4 linked regions of the Arabidopsis thaliana genome follow. The protein of the gene in region 2 interacts with the protein of the main gene of each other region in a pairwise test. Each region holds a gene or a part of one and is shown on either strand. Other genes may lie near its edges.

Region 1 (4,875 bases), on a different chromosome or scaffold from region 2:
GAAAGAATAAAGTTAGTCGTTTCTTTTTAAATTGATTAATGAAAGTATGCAGCTTGTGATTATATTCCTAACTTTATTTTGAGGGTCGCACGACTTAAACCAGCGACTTTTTCCTCATCCATTTTAGAAGAATTCTATTCGATAGTTCAAAATTGAGTCTTGAAATTGTTTCGGGTATTTAGCATTAACACACATCGATAACACCGGAAAAGTAAAGATTTTATGCGACATTATCACATGGTATGGTATTTTTCTGTGAAATAAAAAGTAGACCACATGTTACATGCTTTTCTTAACTCTACTATTAACGATGCTACTCTACTGATCTTTTTTCCTTCGATAACCTGAAAGAAAGATAGTGCACTGACCGTTTCTACTAGAAACCAATTAGGTATGAGTTTTTACTTTTTAGTGTCCTACACGATAGAAATTATGGACAAAATTTGACTTTGGGTAGGTTTCTTTGTAATCAGGGGTCGTTAATTAAAATTTGTGGAAATCTTTTTGAATCTAGATAAGAAAAGATTTTCAATAAATAATAAGCTGCAAGTTGTATATGTGAGGAAAATAACAAGCCAAAAAAGCTCCCCAAAATCTCTTAGGCCCATTTTTTCTAAAGCACTTGAAATACGTAACCAATAAGATTAAGATATCACAACAATTACAAAGCTAATAAGATGGATCCTTCAAAGAACATTTGAACTCATGCATCAATTATTTGCTTTTAATCATTACATAGTGTCACGAAGGACAAGAGAATGACAAAGAAAAAAAGAACATAAAAAAACATATACTAGTAACCAAACTATGGGTCAAACACAAATCAAAGAATTATTGCCAGATTTGTTAGATTCTGTGTAGAGAGGCCCAGAAGACAAAAGCAATATAAATCCCACATCTTTCTTTCTGCTTCTTATGCCACAATCTGCTGCTCATGGTCTATATACATTTGCTCTGCCCACGACGGCAGCTTAAACTTGTCTCTACTCGCTGCACCATTCACCGTATTCCCAACCCTCTCATTCACTCTCTCTGGTGCATTCTCTTTCACCAGTGAGTTCACCCACGACACATCTGGCTCGTCACTGTAGTCTCTAGCAGGGCGTGACACACTGTTGTTGTTGTTTCCATGAATGCCGAAGGAGGCACTTCTCCTCAACTTGTTCAGCTCATCTCTTTGCATTCCCCACTCAAGCTTCCCATTTGGTGATCCCCAATCGGAGACATTAGAAGCTACTGGAGCTGGTTTGAAACTCAAGCTGCGTTTCGCAAACGCTGAGGATCTTGCATTCATCACTGCAGCTGCCATGGCTGCTGAAGATTCGAATCCATGAGGAGGAGGCTGCCTCACAGGTGAAGACGGATAGTGGTTCATCTGAGAATGCCTGCTTGGTGATTGAAGTTGCATCACAGAAGCTGAGTCATATGATCCGAAAGTCTCTTCGAGGTTGGATGGCTTGAGATCACCAAGTCTCCGGTTATCCAAACCGCGAAACCTAAGTTCCATCTCCATATCCATATCTCTAGCACTCAAAGTCGACTTCAATCTGCTACCATTAAGCTGCAACGGTGGTGGTGTAAGGCTATTAACTCTGTTCTGCCATAAACCACCATTTCTTGGAGACAAAGGAACACCATTAGCCATAGGAGAGTTCATTGGCGATGATCCCAGCGTCAAAGGAGACATAACAGACATCTCAGGAGACTGATTAGACGACCTTGGTGAAACCATTGCAGAACCAGTAGAAGCATTAACCGGTCTTAACTCATCCCGTCTATGAGCAAAGAAACAAACTCTCCTAGCACAACCAGTCTCATCTTTGCAAAGCCGTGTCCTATACTGCGCCGGGTGAAGCCAAGACTCGAAAACACCGTGCGCGTACTCACACGAATCTCCTTTAGGACAAGACCCTTTACGAAACTCGGGACAAGGCACACAAGTGTAAGGATACTTCCTAGGATCTCTCCTCCTTGCATTCTCACCAGGATGAACAAAAGGACATTCAGTCCAATCATGTGAATAAGCCCTAGAACATGGCTTAACCTTAAAGCTAAACATCCTAAAATCATCAGTTCCATAAACACCTTCGTTAATATCAGGAAGTGATGCATCAGCTGGATACTTAGTCACAACACTCTTCAGTTCCTCCTCCTCTTCTTCCATAACCGAACCATGAATCCCGGTCAGTAAAACCTCAACCGCCTTTCTACTCTGGTTAGGAACAAACCGAGAATCTTTAGCCAACAAATCAACCGGTTTGTTCCCATTAGCGTCAACACAATTAGGTGAAGCAGAAGCATCAAGCAAGATCTTGATGATCTCAACGATAGAAACAGAACAGCCAGAAACTGCACAGTGAAGAGCAGTGACTTTCTCGTCACTGCAAACTCTGTTCACATCGGATCTTCCTGTGGCAATTATGTAATTCAACACTTCCATGCTTCCATACATAGCAGCAACCATAAGTGGTGTTCTTTCTTCAAAACCCATCTTCTTAGACCCGACCCGTCTGCAATACCAAAACCCTGACTCATCAATCTCCACCGATGGATTCTCTTCGATCTCTCTCTTAAACGATGAAAGATCATCACAGGCGGCGAATTCGAGGAGACACGTGGCGGAAGCTCCGTCTTCTGATTTCTGCCTCATGAATTCGACTTCTGTTAGGGTTTTAGATGAGCAAAGGTTGCTCTTTGCACCGCACATATCTCTTCCTGTGATTCAAAAGTGAAAAACTTTTAGGAGAAAGCAACAAAGAATGAGAAAGAGCAACGCAAATTGAGTTCTTTCGATTCAAAGTTTCAATTTTTCATTTTCAAGATTCTTCTTTATACACAAAATCAATCCCCAATTTAAGCAAAGTAATGAATAATTACACGACCGTTTCGTCAAAATCAAGCCATTAAAACCATAAAGATTAAAGATTTAACCAAACCCAGAATCCTGAATGAAATAGGAAAAAACAGAGAGAGAAAGAATCAAGACATACCTAGAAAAGAAGATAACTTGGAGAAAAAGAGAGAAGTAAAGATTGAAACTTTGGAGGTTTTTGGGGAGAAGAAGTGGTTGGGGTTTTTGAAGAAGGATCAAATGAGAAAGGAGAGGCTCCTTTTAAAAGGAACTTGGTTTTTACGAAGAAGGAAAGAGGAAGGTACGCTCTTTCTTTCGTCTACCTTTCTCGGTCTTCTTCTTCCTTCTTTATATCATTTTTATTTTTTACTTATCTTTGTTTTGTTTTGTTTTTTGCTCTCTTTCTACATGGAAATGGTTTAGGTCAAAAGTCAAAACTGGGAAACTTTTAAAAAAGGTAAGGACGTCGTTGTTTTGCTGACTCTTATTCAATTGTTTTAGTGTATTTTTTTTGTCTTTTTTATAAAAAGAATATTATAATATCTATCTTCCTATCTCATTGATTTTTTCAATATGGCTTTTTAAAATGATCAAAAAGCAAAGTTCATTTGAAGGGAAATAAAACAATGCCCCCATTGTATCGACTTACATAAGAAAAAGTCTCATTCCGGATGTATTTATTGTTTCTAGATAACATCTTGTTTTTGGTTAAAGTTTCTAGATATAAGGATAATGTACCCATTTGGTTTATTTATAACCGAAACCATTGTTGGTTCTCTTTAGGACCTACTAAGTTCCTAATCAATTACTTTGTTTTAATTATACAAAGCAGAAAGAAAACTCAAAGGGAACTACTACCTTACCCATCCGGTAAACTCGTTTTAGGAGATCCATTTATACTCAAAAACCCTCATTAGAAAATAGCCCAAAATTTATATGTTGTTGATGTTACTATGCATTCTCTATATGGCTATAGATGTATGTGATATCAGATTATCTACATGCATTTAGCTGAATACATTACAGGAAATAGACTTACAATTACTAAATAGTTATGTATATCTATCTGGACAATTATAGGTCACATTTCAAAAGACATAATTTAAATTTTAACATCTGACCAAATCTACAGTTGTTTATATTTTACATCTGCATGCTGTTTTTCATATAAACGCATGGGTGCCCAAAACATGTATGGGCAAAGATCCTGAGATATTAAAAAATATTGTTTTTTTCCAAGTTCCAACAGGTCCTAAGGTATTAAAAACTATTTGTAACAAAATAAGATTAAAATAAAATTACTGTCAAAAATATTAAAAAGAAATTAAAAAAGAACATAATATTTTTTTTTTTCATCATCATCAAAAAAAAATTAAAAAAAAAAAAAAAAAAAAATATTATGTTCTTTTTCATCATCAAGAACATAATATATGAGGTTGAATAAATGGTAAATGACGTTGGGGATGTGTAAAAGACCCACCATCGATCAAATCGACCGACTTAGCAGGTAACCTCCACAAGCGTGTGAGTGTTTCAATACTCTTAACACGCGCTTTCATTATCACGTTGGCTACTCTTTTTTCTAAAGATCACTATAATTAACACACAACAATCTTAAATATATTTTACATGATCAATTAAAATATTTTTGGTTCGGTAGAACTACTATTCAAACAATACATACATACTTTAAAAGATTGGTACGAATCAAAATCTATTGGTAGTAAACAATTCGTAAATAGAGATCAACTTTATCTCAGTGTTCTTATTGATAAGCTTATCTTAATGGTCTTGTAGGTATAGTTGTAATGGAGTGATTAGGGTAAAGCGAGTGAGAAACACGGGCAAGGAGAAGTGCGTGGAGAAAGAGGGAAAGTGAGGCACGCCTTCTCTTCTTTGGTGTTTGGGTGGGCGACAGAGAATGTCTTCACTTGGCCGCCCGCTTACACTTTTTCCCCCATTTCCTTAATTGTTTGCTATCAAAAAATTAATGCAACACCTTTAACTTTTGCAAAAATATACTA
Region 2 (8,000 bases):
CTTTTGCGCTTTGAAAAGCTATTGACTTTGGAGAAGATGTAGTTTGGGGAATTTTTTTATTAGTCCTTAGCTCTCAAAAGTTAAAAACTATAATAAACTGTTATAGTTTGTGGAATCCACGTTCCTGCATTCTCAATGTAAACTATCCAAGTTGCTCAATTCAGTGATTGGATATTACAATATACGGCTAGTTTCTTGTGAAACAAGTCGTCCTATAGACTAATGCAAAACAAAACAAAAAAATCAATCATTTTCCTTAACTAACTTTCCACTCTCGGAGAATGAGACTTTCGGCCTTGCCATTCTCGTTGGGGATAAAATATATAATGGGCCAAAAGTTTACTTCCGTCTTATGGCCCATATACGAAGCCCAGAAACAAAAAAAAACTACGATCTTGAATTTATTACAAAAGCATCCATTTTTTCAACAGAAGAATTCCATTTTGAATCTCAGATTTGATCATATTGGCAGAAAAAACACTAATTGAAATAAACTAAAAGTTTGACAAAAAAAAGAAATAAACTAAAAATAAATATTTGAGACTTACGAGGATGAAACAAACTTAAAATGTGAATAGTATTGTAGCAATTCTTTTTTGAAATAATTAACTTTTAGTGATGTAGCAGGAAAAAAGAAAAAACTAAAAAAAAAAAAAAAAAAAAAAGAAAAAACTAAAATGTTAGGCGTTGAATTACTAGTTTTTTTTAGTAGGAGAGTACGAAGAAGGAAGAGGAGGTTAAAGTGCAAGAGAGGCATGAGAGCAGTAAATGGCCTAAAGCCCATGCAGCCTCTGTGTACACATTTAATGCGTCGAAACTATTCGCCACCCTATCGCATACGTACGTACGTATAACTCCATCTATATATCTGTACCTACATATATACAGTAAAAATCAGAAATAAGTTGGGTTATTGTTTTTTTATATATAGTTATTTTAAAGAATCTAGGTAAAGTATAAACTTACTGAAAAGAAAAACTTGAGTGTTAAAGCTATAGCTATAAGGACTTTAAAAAAAAAAACAAAGCTTAAGAACTAGGTAATTAAATACGCAGTATATTTCTCTATATATTCGCGTGATAAATTAAGATGAATGCATGGCTTTTACAAATTATCACCTTTTTAATGGGTGATCCGTATTTTAAATAGCTTAATTGCACGTTATAGTTATAAATGCTTGGGCCACAAAGTAATTAATATTTCTAGGCATGTAAAATGAAGTCTTACTGTGAAAAAAGTGATATTTCATTGACTTCCTTAAATTGAAAAAACAATTGTTTCGTAAACAAAACTCAAAATTAAGGTGATGATTTTTAGATTTTCTTCTTTTAAATGAAATAAAATAAATACATCACTCAATCAACTTCTGTCTGACTAACAATAATACAACCTAAACTTCTATAATATTTAAGAAAATGCCATGTGGAAGAAGAATCATGAAATTTTCCTTCTTTACAATTAAATTTATAACAAAGATATGAAATAATAATAAAATAAAATAGTTAAAAATATAATAGTCATATTTTTTGAAAGTAAAAATTAAATTTATATCTCATAAAGATAAATATTAACTATAACAAGTCATTGAATTTTAGTTAAAAAACTATATAATTTTTTTCCATATTATAAATAATCTAAGAGTATTAAAATTTCAGAAAATTACTTTTAAAATTGTATCCTTGACAAATGGGGACTATTGTCTAACTTTTTCTGTAAATGGAGAACTGTATTAAAGCAAATTTCAATATAGTTAAATCTTTTTTTAATATAGTTAATTTTGTTAAGTGGTGATTTATTGCATATGCATAAGTTATGAATAATGCTAATGATTTTTTAAAAATAACTACATATCTAATAGATAAATGTAAGTCTCATAGGCTCATAGACCGTTAGCCGTCATTCCTCACCACATTATAATATTTTAAATAAATAAAAAATAAAATTATTTTAGGTTGACATTGTATATAAGATGAAAAACAACACATAATTTTGTAACATAAATAAAATAAATTGTAACATATCTCTCTCTCTCTATATATATATAAGCGTGTAGGATAATTAAGTGTCCCTCTCGCACCATTTAATTTCATTGCACCCTCTCAATTCTCTCTGTCATTACTCTCTCATCTCTCTTCCTCCAAGATTTGCACCTACCTTTCAAACCTTTTGCTCGCCAACAAAACCGCGCTTCACAAAACCATCAGCGGTTTTCCGAGAAACAAATCTCAGACCAGACACCGCTCTACTCTTCTCTCTCTCTCCCTCTAGGGTTTCGTCGCTTCTTCCTATATCCCAGTGTATGTCTCGAAAACCTCATCATTTCTGCTGTTTTCTTTATTTTATCCATTAATTCATGTACACAAATTTATTTGTTTAAAGTATCATTGGATCCATTACACTTCAGTTTTCTTAGCATCTTTATAAAACTCTCACTTTCATGATGTTTTTTTTTTATAATTTAATATATCCTGTATGTTGAATTTTCAGTTAGTCATCTATATTTTGTCTTAAATTTTGCCTTCTTTAGCATTAATTAATTGATTTCTTGCCTCTAATATCTTTCATTCCTCTCCTAATTTGCTTTCTGACTTTCTGATTTATTGTATTCTTCTTTAAATAATCTTATCAATTTCTGCATAGTCAGAGATGAAACCTTCAAGAAAACAATAAAGAGGAAAGATTAAAGGTTAGTATTCCCTTGCCTACCAAAAAAAACAGAAAGGTTTGTATTCTCTTCGTATATCCTTATTTTCATTATACGTTTGGTTTTATATATAAACACGTGTATATACTTTATAGTAGTAGTATACATTTACATATTAATGTGTGTAATAAAAACGTTTAAATACGATGATGATGATAAGAAATAGCTGGAAAAAATTAATACATCACCCAGGCCTTATGTCACGTTGGTTGTAAGTTGTATAATAACTATATGTTGGTCCGTCGCACAGGTGCACAGATATAATACTATTTTTTTCATTTCAATTTTTTTTTCTTTCTTAATCGCCAAATAGTAGTTTACACTTTTTCCTGAAGAGTTTTTATTTTTTGAAAATCTACTAATGATTATATTTAATTAAATTTTGTTTTGTTCTCACGAAAATATTGTTTTTTTAATAAACAGGATAGAGTTGGGAATTTATTTGTACCTACTTTTTCCCATTTTATTTGCTTTGAACAAATGAGTCCAACATTTCTCTTTTCGTCTTCTCTTTCCTATCCCATCTAAATCAAAACTGATCAAAATACCTCGAAATTTTAAATTAAATCACCATCCATCAAAGCTATTATAGTGTAGAAATTTTAAAGTTTTTTCTTTGGACAACAATTGATTTCCATCTACACTACATATGATATGACTCTTGAATCAATCATAGTTTTTATTTCAGTCTGCTGATTAGTTTTTTTCTTTTCTTTTAAAAGGGTAAAAAATCGGTAGTTTCGAATAATTTTGAGTATGTGAAAATTCATTATTTTTGGGTTGGTTATTCAATAACAAATTAATTTGTGATTGTGATGTCTTTTTTATGCAAGGCTCTTTTTTCTTGCTTTCAATTAGTGGGTCCTTTGTTTCCTACAATCATCTCCAATTCTTCTGTTTGCTTATATCATTTTGTATGATCTTCAAGAAGAAAGATAAACGACTCCGAAGAAAGATTTAAGTTATTGTTGTTCATACAAAAAGAAGGTTGTAAAGTTGTTGACGTGGACAAAAGTATTGCCATATTTTTCCAGCCTCGAAGAAATTTCCCTTCTTCTTCAAACCCTAAATTTTGACAAAACTCTCTACTTTTTTTTGCTTCTAGGGTTTGCTTTCAGTTTCCGGAGTATAAGAAAAGATGTTCGAGCCAAATATGCTGCTTGCGGCTATGAACAACGCAGACAGCAATAACCACAACTACAACCATGAAGACAACAATAATGAAGGATTTCTTCGGGACGATGAATTCGACAGTCCGAATACTAAATCGGGAAGTGAGAATCAAGAAGGAGGATCAGGAAACGACCAAGATCCTCTTCATCCTAACAAGAAGAAACGATATCATCGACACACCCAACTTCAGATCCAGGAGATGGAAGCGTATGTGTTTAACTTACTCACTTACTTCAATTTTCTTGTGTGTTTTTTGACAATTCTTTTGTTTTGGTTGTTAAATAGGTTCTTCAAAGAGTGTCCTCACCCAGATGACAAGCAAAGGAAACAGCTAAGCCGTGAATTGAATTTGGAACCTCTTCAGGTCAAATTCTGGTTCCAAAACAAACGTACCCAAATGAAGGTATACTTTTTATATTATGAACATATATACATTAGTTAATGGATCTATATATATTAGAGAAAATATATATACTTGTTAATTAAATTGTTATTTCATTCATATTAAGTCTTGTATATATACATTGAAGGGCTTATCTTTATACTTAAGAACATTTTGGGTGGCTGGTGTTTTCTTTCAGAATGAATTCATTGACTTTTGGCAGATTTTAGATCTAGTTGAGACACTTTGACTTAAAATTTCTTACTTATTTTTTTTTTCAATTGAAAAGTTGTTCCTTTGGCAGAACTATATATTTGGCGGATCAAGCTATAGAAAATTGTTTGGTTGTAACAACATTGCCTATTTATTATCTTAGTTAGAGCCATATATAATCTATAGATTGAAACGTTTTGGACACATATGCTTACGTTATGCAAATACGGTGAAACACATAACGTGTACACGAGTGTTTTATTTGAAACATACACTTTTCCTCTTTTTAAGTAAAATCCTTTGTTCCTTCGTTTTACCCAAATTAGAAATAAATCACTTGTATAAAACTTTAGAGATAACCGGAATATAAGTTTTATTTGCGCAGAATCATCACGAGCGGCATGAGAACTCACATCTTCGGGCGGAGAACGAAAAGCTTCGAAACGACAACCTAAGATATCGAGAGGCTCTTGCAAATGCTTCGTGTCCTAATTGTGGTGGTCCAACAGCTATCGGAGAAATGTCATTCGACGAACACCAACTCCGTCTCGAAAATGCTCGATTAAGGGAAGAGGTATGAGAATCAACTATTTTAAATGTTCAAATAATGTTAAGAGTTTTACACTTAAATGTTGTCAAGAAGATAAAATAAAAAATTAGAATTTGTTTTTATACCACTAATGTTATATCGCTTTCACAATAATCATTTCTTTCTTCATAAAATAAAAACTTTTATAGATTTGTATTGAAATTAGAGAATTTAAACATTTTTTTTTCATTGAAGAATAGAAAAAATTATGATATTAAATTGAGATACTAAAACGATATTTTTGGAACTGTAAGGAGTAGTAGTACATAATAACAACATTACTCAACGTTTCTTCTTGTGACCAAACTTTGAAAACCACAAGGATCAATAATCTTTCTTATTTGTCTGTTTTAGATCGACCGTATATCCGCAATCGCAGCTAAATACGTAGGCAAGCCAGTCTCAAACTATCCACTTATGTCTCCTCCTCCTCTTCCTCCACGTCCACTAGAACTCGCCATGGGAAATATTGGAGGAGAAGCTTATGGAAACAATCCAAACGATCTCCTTAAGTCCATCACTGCACCAACAGAATCTGACAAACCTGTCATCATCGACTTATCCGTGGCTGCAATGGAAGAGCTCATGAGGATGGTTCAAGTAGACGAGCCTCTGTGGAAGAGTTTGGTTTTAGACGAAGAAGAATATGCAAGGACCTTTCCTAGAGGGATCGGACCTAGACCGGCTGGATATAGATCAGAAGCTTCGCGAGAAAGCGCGGTTGTGATCATGAATCATGTTAACATCGTTGAGATTCTCATGGATGTGGTAATTAACATTTTCATTTTACTTAAAAGCAATCTTCTCTGTTTAGTTTCAACAACATTGATATGATGTTGCAGAATCAATGGTCGACGATTTTCGCGGGGATGGTTTCTAGAGCAATGACATTAGCGGTTTTATCGACAGGAGTTGCAGGAAACTATAATGGAGCTCTTCAAGTGGTAATTTTTTTTGCTTTTATTCTGTAAAAATTAAATTTCAAACTGAAATAACCACTCTGTTTTGCTTGCAGATGAGTGCAGAGTTTCAAGTTCCATCTCCATTAGTCCCAACACGTGAAACCTATTTCGCACGTTACTGTAAACAACAAGGAGATGGTTCGTGGGCGGTTGTCGATATTTCGTTGGATAGTCTCCAACCAAATCCCCCGGCTAGATGCAGGCGGCGAGCTTCAGGATGTTTGATTCAAGAATTGCCAAATGGATATTCTAAGGTAATATAATAAAAACATTAGGTTATACAAAATGTTTACTTAAGTAGAGAGAATTAATGTAACAGGTGACTTGGGTGGAGCATGTGGAAGTTGATGACAGAGGAGTTCATAACTTATACAAACACATGGTTAGTACTGGTCATGCCTTTGGTGCTAAACGCTGGGTAGCCATTCTTGACCGCCAATGCGAGCGGTTAGCTAGTGTCATGGCTACAAACATTTCCTCTGGAGAAGTTGGCGGTATAACCTACTGTTTGTTTCATAAACAGTTTTCATAATCAGAGTCAGAGTCAGAATCACAGTTCTATATTAATGAATATGCAGTGATAACCAACCAAGAAGGGAGGAGGAGTATGCTGAAATTGGCAGAGCGGATGGTTATAAGCTTTTGTGCAGGAGTGAGTGCTTCAACCGCTCACACGTGGACTACATTGTCCGGTACAGGAGCTGAAGATGTTAGAGTGATGACTAGGAAGAGTGTGGATGATCCAGGAAGGCCTCCTGGTATTGTTCTTAGTGCAGCCACTTCTTTTTGGATCCCTGTTCCTCCAAAGCGAGTCTTTGACTTCCTCAGAGACGAGAATTCAAGAAATGAGGTAACTATTTTAGTTACTACGCTCTCTTGTTCTGTTTTGGACAGAGTTTTGATGTTTTTGTGAGATTTTGCAGTGGGATATTCTGTCTAATGGAGGAGTTGTGCAAGAAATGGCACATATTGCTAACGGGAGGGATACCGGAAACTGTGTTTCTCTTCTTCGGGTAAATGTGAGTTACACCGGGTTTTGAACTATTGTTATAATCATCTGATCCTAGCTAAGAGTTTTCAATCTTTCTTTATGTCACAGAGTGCAAACTCTAGCCAGAGCAATATGCTGATCCTACAAGAGAGCTGCACTGATCCTACAGCTTCCTTTGTGATCTATGCTCCAGTCGATATTGTAGCTATGAACATAGTGCTTAATGGAGGTGATCCAGACTATGTGGCTCTGCTTCCATCAGGTTTTGCTATTCTTCCTGATGGTAATGCCAATAGTGGAGCCCCTGGAGGAGATGGAGGGTCGCTCTTGACTGTTGCTTTTCAGATTCTGGTTGACTCAGTTCCTACGGCTAAGCTGTCTCTTGGCTCTGTTGCAACTGTCAACAATCTAATAGCTTGCACTGTTGAGAGAATCAAAGCTTCAATGTCTTGTGAGACTGCTTGAAAACCATCCATTAGGTACTACTTTCACTAAATATATTCTTCTCGCTTTTACGCCATTATATGATGTAATCATATTTTTCTTCTTCTTTCTGCAGGAAATAACAAAATGGTGATGATGGAAAAAAGAGAGAGATTTCAGTTTGAGAAAAGCGGAGGAGTCAAGATCGAACCTCACAAGAGAATACCATTGAGTGTTTGTTAGTGTTAAGTTTTGGTCTGCTTATTTGATGAAACTAAGCAGTGAAAAACTTTTTACTTGAAAGTGAATATGTAGATGGTTTTACGAGGTTCGGGAATTTGACTTCCCCTGTCACATACTGAATTAGACAAAAACAAAAACTAGGTTAGAAAGAATGCTTTCGGATTTCTTTTTGTGTTACAGTTACTGTTTTTCTTTCCTTCTTGTGGTTAGATGGACCATCATCAGGAATTTGGAGTTTGTCTTTCTTTTGTATAAATATCTTATACAAGTATTTTGGTACTTTTGTAAGCTTATGTGAGTTTGTCTAGGGGAAAGCTCAC
Region 3 (4,107 bases), on a different chromosome or scaffold from region 2:
GTTTTTTTAGAGTTTTAGAGATTGTGTGTTAAATTTAGTAACAAACTTACTTTCATGCTATTTATGAGAATTGCATATTTCTAGACCAATTTTTTATTATTATAATTCATATAATTATTCTTGAATTATTTATGTGCTATTTGTGAGAATTACCAATTTCTAGACCAATATTTTATTATTATTCATATAATTAAACGTTTATTGAATTATTTTAGCTCTAAAAAATATAATGAAATTTAGAATTGTTATAGAAACTTTAAATGACTCAAAACTGATCTTTGTTTTTTTGTCAACCACACATTAATTAAAAACTGATCTTTGTTAAACATCTAAATATTGAAAAACAAAAGGATTACCACCGCACCTATCCTGCATCGTCTTGTACCATTTGCATTCATCAGAGCCATTATATATTCATGTGGCTGTCACATCCTTATATACATTTCAACTTATAAATTTAATTTTGTACGTTTAGCAGATGTTGGTGAATTCATTTATTCAAGCTTAAGGTTTAACTCGTTCTTGTCTCCTTTAGGTTCATAACATTTAATGGACAACAACTACTCCAAATATCCGTGGACTTTACCACGCGACGCACCGACAATTCTCTAGCCTTTTCATTAATTGATCAGTAAAAACACTTCTATAATTTTAATTATTCTCAGAAATTTTAACCGGTAGTAACATAAACGTAGATGATCGAAAAAGATGAAATCGAGGTCTCTGTTTTGTGTCGAATTAATAGATCTATAAGAAATCAAACAATGAAAATTAAATAGATGAATGAAATATGTTTTGACGACGTTTTCACGTCACTGTTTAAGTTATCTGTTAGTAAAATTTGATAGCATTTAATTTGAATTGCTATGTAACTCGGAATAAATTCGACGGCAAGAGGTGTGGGATGTGATCAGTCTTCTAATTAAGTGTAATCTTTACAAAAAATCAGTATGAGTTAATACAGGTTTATAAATAGAAAGACATCTACAGTAAAACCTCTATAAATTAATAATGTTGGGACTGCAAAATTTTATTAATTTAGAAAGATTTTAATTTATCGATAAATTAATATTTATTAATTTATAGAGAGATTTTCGTAATTTAGTAACTTTTCAAAAATTTCTATAAAATTTTTTTCATTATAGAAAATATCTTTCAAAAATCAATTACAAGTAAATAATAATATCATGTTTAGAAAACAACACCAAAAGTTTTTGATAAAGTAAAATACTATAACTAAATTTAAATAAGAATAAATACAAATTTTAAGCAAAAAAATATTAGAATTATATTTCAAAATAATTTCTTACATATAATGTATATATAGTTGATATATTTATAAAATTATTAATTTATGATATTGATGGGACCATATATTTACATAAGATTTTTTAAAAAGTTATTATCTTATTAATTTATCGATTTGTGTCACTTTTTACACTGATCCCAACTCGGGACTGGAAGAATTTATTAATTTATAGAGGTTATTAATTTATCGAGTATTAATTTATAGAGGTTTAACTGTATATGAATAATTGAATACACATGGGACATCATTATAGTTACCTTAGTACGATTTTATGCATTTGGTTACCAAAATCCACTAGGCTTCGTAATTGGTTGTGGGTCAGTGTCCATTCGATAGTTTGCATTAGCGATAAACACTTAAAACAGTAAAACGTGATCTATTTTTAAACAATAACATTTCTTCTTATCAAATATTCACATAATTAATGAAGAAAAGAGACGAATTGATAGGCAATAAGAAATATGATCACTTGGTACCATTGTATGCATGGTATGAACTGACATCAAGTATTTGTACGTTGTAGGGTAATTATTAACATTGTAGAATGACAAGTATGATCAAATGGAAAAGGATTAGTTATATGTAGCAAAACTAGTATTTGTACTTGGACTATCTTGTCATGTAGTTTTCCTAACGCTATATATAATCCAATAACCCCATGACACGGAAGAGATAGGGGACATACAATAAATATCAGTAGAGAGGACGTGGGAAAAGCAGAGAGTTAAGTGAGTAGTTGGAGATAGAAAGATCAGAGACGAGGAATCTCTCTCCCACTCTCACTTTCTCTCCTATTCTTAGTTCGTGTCAGAAACACACAGAGAAATTAAGAACCCTAATTTAAAACAGAAGAATGGTACATTCGAAGAAGTTCCGAGGTGTCCGCCAGCGTCAGTGGGGTTCTTGGGTTTCTGAGATTCGTCATCCTCTCTTGTCAGTTCTCTCTCCCTCTCTATCTATTAATAGAGACAACAGTATAAATCTGTTTATGCAAGTCCATGCTATGAGTTAAGTTTACATTTTTGGTGTACGTGTAGGGCAGTTTTCTGATCATTGATTATATTTTCGAAGATTCATGCAAAGCTCTTATAATATCATGCATTTTTGTTTAAGTCGTTTTCCTTATTTTTTTCCAATTAAAAAACCCACGTTTATTAACATATACATATGTTGAGTATTTGTACTTTTTGTGTTGTATTTTGAAATTTTGAGTGTACATAAATTTAAATGCTTTGTCATATAATTGATACTGATGTATTTTCTATGTCTTAGTTGGATTATAGAAAATCATATAGCAAAGAATTGGGAAGGAACGAACACTACTCACTATAAACTTTCCTCAAAAAGAAAACGACCCAATTTATTATCAGTAACAATTTATAACAAATTTGTTGTGTGTTTGTTTTAGTACTTTGAAGTTTGAATAAAATGTGTGTTTTTTGCTTACGTAACTTATGTGAGCTATCAGGAAGAGAAGAGTGTGGCTAGGAACATTCGACACGGCGGAAACAGCGGCTAGAGCCTACGACCAAGCCGCGGTTCTAATGAACGGCCAGAGCGCGAAGACTAACTTCCCCGTCATCAAATCGAACGGTTCAAATTCCTTGGAGATTAACTCTGCGTTAAGGTCTCCCAAATCATTATCGGAACTATTGAACGCTAAGCTAAGGAAGAACTGTAAAGACCAGACACCGTATCTGACGTGTCTCCGCCTCGACAACGACAGCTCACACATCGGCGTCTGGCAGAAACGCGCCGGGTCAAAAACGAGTCCAAACTGGGTCAAGCTTGTTGAACTAGGTGACAAAGTTAACGCACGTCCCGGTGGTGATATTGAGACTAATAAGATGAAGGTACGAAACGAAGACGTTCAGGAAGATGATCAAATGGCGATGCAGATGATCGAGGAGTTGCTTAACTGGACCTGTCCTGGATCTGGATCCATTGCACAGGTCTAAAGGAGAATCATTGAATTATATGATCAAGATAATAATATAGTTGAGGGTTAATAATAATCGAGGGTAAGTAATTTACGTGTAGCTAATAATTAATATAATTTTCGAACATATATATGAATATATGATAGCTCTAGAAATGAGTACGTATATATACGTAAACATTTTTCCTCAAATATAGTATATGTGTTGTGATTCTAAGACTTGTAAACTGATATGGCCTACTGTTTAAAGAGTAGTTGATATTTTCTATTGAATTTGTGGACATGATATAATTACAGGAGATTAGTATAGTAGTCATTATGATACTTATGAAGGTACAAGTGGTAGGATGATAATTAATTAGTTTAATAAAGAATAATGAACATTAAATGTGAAAGAGATTTGCCACTTTTGTTAAACACATCTGCGAATCAGATTCTTGTGATTCGAATGTTAGTCCTACCTAGATTAAGAAAGGTTTTACTATTTTAACATGTTTACCTGGTTTGGGTAAAGTTCATGTCCTGTCCTATTCCGTCTTGTCCCGATCATGATAAACTTTATGAGCAATTCTTATAGAATTTTATTTTAAAATACTGATTTTTGATATTCAATTTTATTTGATTATTTTTTACTTAGGCATGTGATAAAGGCGATTTTGACTTAGTTTCACATACAAGTTTAAGTAAATTATCTTACATAACAAAAGAGATTCAAGTAAATAAATCTAAGCGGGCTAAAATTAATCAACTAGCTCAAGTTGAAACATTTTATCAAGTGAACCTCTTCCAAGTCTAGATAGCATCTCAAGTTTATATATGATATCATATCATGGACACACTTTGGATTTTGGATATTTTG
Region 4 (5,341 bases), on a different chromosome or scaffold from region 2:
CAATATTTTTATACATTAAACTTAGATTTCAACTTTTATGTATAACTTTTAACCTTGGATCAACCACTAGGCCATTGTCGATTTATTTTTGACTATTAAAAATCAGACTATTGTATTTCATTTAACATGTTTTTGTTTCTTTTTGAATTTTTGCATTCATTTAAGATGTTGTGGTCTCTCAAGTCCATATATAACGATTAGAAACTACAAATTTATAATTTTGTAGCTCCGAAATAAATATCATGCATTATGTATCAGCTAGAAAAGATCTAATCAGTGGTAATAATCGATAAGCAAAGGGTTAAGTAAGAGATGGGAGAGTAATCTCATCTTAGGAAATGATTACAAACACGATCTCATTTCTTTCCTTTATACAAAGCTGTCACCGTAGTAACTCGATCACATCTTCTCGTCTAATTTGTTCTGTTTTTCCTTTCGGTCCATTTAGAACCAATTTTTGACAACTGACAAAAAACATTATGAGGTATCTTTTGTTTCTTTTATCTGCAAATTAATTTATTATTCGGCAATAACAAAAATAAAAACAACTAGTAGCGAATAGCGATCAAGCTAAGGAAGGAATACATATGGCATTTACAATTGAAACAGAGAAAATGTGTTAAAGTAACAAAACTTATGATTGAGAAAATTTAAACCATAATTGAAACAGAGAAAATGTGTTAAAGTAACAAAACTTATGATTGAGAAAATTTAAACCATAATAATGATTAATTTTGGTAGTCTACATATGAGTTCCATCAAAAAAAAAAAAATGTTTTCATATAAGATTCATTTCATTCTTGATCCAGTAACATTCTTAGATCTGTTAATGAACCTTCTTAAGGAATGACTGAGAAGAAAGGCAATAGCCTAAAAGGAATCGACAGTGGAGAGTGGAGGGAAAAAGAGGTCACGTGAGTAAGACATAAGGTCACGTGCGCGAGGGATCGAATATGAATTTTACTAAAATAGGGTTTTATAAAAACATACTAATACTACTTTCACATTTACTCTTGGTTTGAATTATTTTTATACGCATGTATAATTTGATATATTTGTCTTTTTTCTTCCCCTAACTATGTATGGGCACTAGTACATCCATTATATAAGCCAAATAGAAAGAAAAAATAATAGTTTGTCTGCATTATTGTAAACTTACAGAATTTGGTATTTAATGCAATAATGCATTTTTATCCTTGGATTATTCACAAGAACCATATACCTTTTTTTTTCTCTCCTTGTTTCCAAGTGTAATTCGAAAAGAATCTTAACATGTATGTGGACCAACGTTGGAAACATGATGACATAACATTCATATATAGTTAACAATGACAATTTTTCTTAAATTGTCTATATATTATTGGATTGCTTTAACAATAATGAAACGCAAGATGTATTAGTGATGTATAATCACACTATTTATAGGACTTGAGAGTGACAGTCAAAAAGTTAATTAGAAGTAATGAAGTATCTTAACCTTATTATTTAATTGCTTCTTACATCATCTAAGAGTTAGCACCGTATCGATATTCATAAATTCTCTCCTAATTTGCAGATACAATACAACTATTGCTATTTTAAGCCTCTAACCTGCATAATATTTTGATGAAAGGCAAGCCTTACATGTGGACGTATGATCTCATATATTTTTTTTTTTCATTTGTTAGAAGAAACTCATGTAGATAATCTCAAACATAAAATAAAATGTTTCAAAAAAAAAAAAAAAAATAGTTTGTGAAGGTTCAAGAAAATCAGACAAATTCATCAATCAGACAAGATATGGGTCCAAGCCAAAAAATTCATATATCCAACATGCTCAAAGAAACAAAGTCTAAAAAATAAATACAAAATAACAAAAAGAAAAATCTAAAATCTACATCTAAATCTAAATAAATACACCACCTTCTCTCTCTCTCTCTCTAGCTACACGAGTGTATGTATACATTTTACGCAATGATGGCATAGTGCAATGAGCTTTATAAGTAGAAGCAATATAGACATCAAAGACCCCTTATTTGCTCTCAACTCTCAAGTGTATGAGAGAGAAATAGGTTTTTGAAGAAGAGTCAAAATATATACCCAAAGAGAGAGCTAGAGAGAGAGAGACTCAAGAAAATTAAAAAGCTTTCATCATATTAACATAAGAGAAACTTTGAAGAGCCTAAGAAAAAGTTTTGAAAAGCCTTTGTTGCAGAAAGCTTAAAAGAACTTTTTCTCTCCCCCTATATCTCTCTTTATCACCCTTCCTCTTCTTTGTAAAGCTGAATCTCCCACTATCTCTTCTTCTTTCATTTTTTTTTTTTTTTGGTCTTTGGGCCTTGTTCTTTCATCAAATCAATCTCTAGAATCCAAATACAATAAAGTCAAAAAGAAAGATCAAGAAAAGTAGAGTAATTGATGAGAACAGATCAAGTGATGTTGTCCAACAAGAACACAAACACATGTTGTGTGGTTTCTTCTTCTTCTTCTGATCCTTTCCTCTCCTCTTCAGAAAATGGGGTCACCACCACAAACACATCCACTCAGAAGAGGAAAAGAAGACCTGCAGGTACCCCAGGTAATAATAAATCCCCACTACAGAAAATTTATTTTTCAAAATCTTTTTTTCTTGTTTTTATTTTCTTATGAAAATTTTCAACTCATGGGTACTATTGTTTTTTGTTTTTTTTTTCTCTTAAACCCCATTAGAAATACAGGTTTATTATAGGTTTAGTTTTAAAATTTCTCTTTTTCTTATTGCCAGTTTCAAAGTTATAGGTACAATTAATGGGTTTTCATTGTTTTTAATTCTTAAACCTCATTTAAAATCTCAACTTTATTAATCAACTAAGACATGTGTTTTGATGGGTTTTGCCTTATCTCCTTTTCAGATCCAGATGCAGAAGTTGTGTCTTTATCACCAAGAACTCTTCTTGAATCAGACAGATACATATGTGAGATCTGTAACCAAGGGTTTCAAAGAGACCAGAATCTCCAGATGCATAGAAGACGTCACAAAGTTCCATGGAAGCTTCTTAAAAGAGACAACAACATAGAGGTGAAGAAACGAGTCTATGTTTGCCCTGAACCCACTTGCCTTCACCATAATCCTTGTCATGCTCTGGGAGATCTTGTCGGCATCAAAAAACATTTCAGAAGAAAACATAGTAACCATAAGCAATGGGTTTGTGAGAGATGCTCTAAAGGTTATGCTGTTCAATCTGATTACAAAGCTCATCTCAAAACTTGTGGTACTAGAGGACATTCTTGTGACTGTGGTCGTGTCTTCTCCAGGTATAATTTCTTGTTCCTCTCTATCATTTGATTTTTTTTTGACCCATTTTATAAATTAATTATTGGTATTATTAATTCTGAAAAGATATGCAAACTTTTGGAAGGATTTGTTAAGTATTTCTAAAATATACAAGTAATTTGACTCTGTTTGTTTTGTATATTTAGGAGATCATATAGAAAGACAAATATAGAAAATTCTTCTAGGGACCAAAGACTAAGATTGATAGTTATAGTACTATTTGATTTGACTATCCTTCATGATTTTTACTAATTCTGTGTATTGATGTGTATGCATCAGAGTTTTTTAATATATCTCTTGACTATTTGTTTGGTTTTTGTGACATAAAAAGAAAGTTAAGCACTTAGATTAATGACATTGACCCCAATCTCTAAAGAAATATTTTATGTATTTAGGTTATTATTGGACCTTTTTTCGACACAAAGGTTATAATTGGACCTAAACTCATATTAATAATATATATTTTTGAGTTCAAAGGTATTTAATAAACGACGTTTAAACAGAAAAACTTAATATAAAATTATTAACTTTGTCACATTTTCATAATCCTACGTCATATAAATTATGTAATTGATAGGTTTCTTTTCTTCTTTTAGGGTGGAGAGTTTTATTGAACATCAAGATAATTGTTCCGCACGGAGAGTTCACCGTGAACCGCCTCGACCACCACAAACCGCGGTAACAGTCCCGGCATGCTCTTCTAGAACCGCCTCAACCGTCAGCACTCCGTCTAGTGAAACCAATTACGGCGGTACAGTTGCGGTTACGACTCCTCAACCTCTAGAAGGCCGTCCAATTCATCAGAGAATCTCATCTTCAATTCTCACCAACTCATCAAACAATCTCAACCTCGAACTCCAACTTCTTCCATTATCGTCGAATCAAAACCCTAATCAAGAAAACCAACAACAAAAAGTTAAAGAACCATCTCATCATCATAATCATAATCATGATACCACAAACTTAAACCTCTCCATTGCACCATCATCATCATATCAACATTACAACAACTTTGATCGTATAAAAGAGATTATGGCGAGCGAGCAAATTATGAAGATAGCGATGAAGGAGAAAGCTTACGCTGAGGAAGCTAAAAGAGAAGCCAAGAGGCAACGAGAGATAGCGGAAAACGAGTTTGCAAATGCCAAAAAGATTAGGCAAAAAGCACAAGCTGAACTCGAGAGAGCTAAGTTTTTAAAGGAACAATCTATGAAGAAGATAAGTTCAACGATCATGCAGGTCACTTGTCAAACATGTAAAGGACAGTTTCAAGCAGTTGCGGTTCCGGCGGCTACGGCTGATGAGACGTCTCTTGTCGTGAGTTACATGTCGTCAGCGAATACTGACGGAGAGTTGGAAAATGGTTTTTAAGTAAAACCGAAGAAAACATAAGATATTTAAATTGAGGTTAACTTTATTATACTTTTGTGTATTAATTACCGGTTGTGTTAATTTTTTCAACTACCATATATTATGTAATGGTTGTTATATAGTTGTTTCTTTGGTCCAACAATATTAGACTATGTTTTGTAACTATGTTACTGTCATTTCCGCCACATTACACTTTAAATTGTTGAAAAATGATTTTATCCTAGGTTTCATATAGAACCTTAAAATTAAATTTTATCAACAAAAAAAAAACCTTGAAATTAACTATTTAAATTTTTATATAGATATTTTTTCGTCTTGAACGTCTACAGTAGTTTAGAAGGAGTTAAGAGTGGAGATCCGTACATGCGTGTTTTGATCTTTGGCCTTAGATTCGCTTAGAACTTTCAATGGATATACAATTTTTTTAATAAAACATGTGATATGCGGATTTGAATTCGGTTAAATATACATTTGCTTATCCTTGATTTGTCTACATTATTTTTGGTAAGCTTGAGGTGATATATTTGAAAACAAATCTCACGTTTTAAGGATCAAAACAGTCCCTGCATGATAGAGATTATCGACATCTAATGTATACCAGTATATTTAGTAAGTTTGAAAGAGGGTAAGTAGTTGCTTGGCACGAGTTGATATATGGAGTGATGGGAAATGTACTAT

The links.
Region 1: the proteins of HDG2 (region 2) and CZF1 interact in a two-hybrid assay, tested with the Arabidopsis thaliana proteins (one large-scale study listed by BioGRID).
Region 3: the proteins of HDG2 (region 2) and SHN3 interact in a two-hybrid assay, tested with the Arabidopsis thaliana proteins (one large-scale study listed by BioGRID).
Region 4: the proteins of HDG2 (region 2) and SGR5 interact in a two-hybrid assay, tested with the Arabidopsis thaliana proteins (one large-scale study listed by BioGRID).

Annotation. Positions count from the first base shown.
Region 1 is NC_003071.7:16,770,369-16,775,243, reverse strand, and holds CZF1 (zinc finger (CCCH-type) family protein), read right to left. Parts: upstream 3,248-4,875; 5' UTR 2,991-3,247; intron 2,716-2,990; 5' UTR 2,708-2,715; coding exon 914-2,707; 3' UTR 510-913; downstream 1-509. UniProt on the Arabidopsis thaliana protein: Involved in salt stress response. May positively modulate plant tolerance to salt stress.
Region 2 is NC_003070.9:1,512,867-1,520,866, reverse strand, and holds HDG2 (homeodomain GLABROUS 2), read left to right. Parts: upstream 1-1,966; 5' UTR 1,967-2,297; intron 2,298-2,640; 5' UTR 2,641-2,686; exon of another isoform or gene 2,687-3,809; 5' UTR 3,810-3,842; coding exon 3,843-4,084; intron 4,085-4,162; coding exon 4,163-4,280; intron 4,281-4,857; coding exon 4,858-5,046; intron 5,047-5,415; coding exon 5,416-5,829; intron 5,830-5,903; coding exon 5,904-6,005; intron 6,006-6,076; coding exon 6,077-6,277; intron 6,278-6,304; exon of another isoform or gene 6,305-6,342; coding exon 6,343-6,517; exon of another isoform or gene 6,518-6,601; coding exon 6,602-6,873; exon of another isoform or gene 6,874-6,946; coding exon 6,947-7,042; coding exon of another isoform or gene 7,043-7,063; exon of another isoform or gene 7,064-7,122; coding exon 7,123-7,479; 3' UTR 7,480-7,493; exon of another isoform or gene 7,494-7,567; intron 7,568-7,573; 3' UTR 7,574-7,966; downstream 7,967-8,000. UniProt on the Arabidopsis thaliana protein: Probable transcription factor. Involved, together with PDF2, in the regulation of flower organs development by promoting the expression of APETALA 3 (AP3) in the epidermis and internal cell layers of developing flowers.
Region 3 is NC_003076.8:8,818,475-8,822,581, forward strand, and holds SHN3 (Integrase-type DNA-binding superfamily protein), read left to right. Parts: upstream 1-1,983; 5' UTR 1,984-2,162; coding exon 2,163-2,242; intron 2,243-2,777; coding exon 2,778-3,267; 3' UTR 3,268-3,588; downstream 3,589-4,107.
Region 4 is NC_003071.7:430,255-435,595, forward strand, and holds SGR5 (C2H2-like zinc finger protein), read left to right. Parts: upstream 1-2,020; 5' UTR 2,021-2,397; coding exon 2,398-2,557; intron 2,558-2,592; exon of another isoform or gene 2,593-2,757; intron 2,758-2,870; coding exon 2,871-3,257; coding exon of another isoform or gene 3,258-3,273; intron 3,274-3,869; coding exon 3,870-4,663; 3' UTR 4,664-4,823; downstream 4,824-5,341. UniProt on the Arabidopsis thaliana protein: Transcription factor involved in inflorescence stems gravitropism, probably by regulating starch accumulation in amyloplasts of graviperceptive cells. Required for stem circumnutation movements. Regulates lateral organ morphogenesis and gravitropic responses.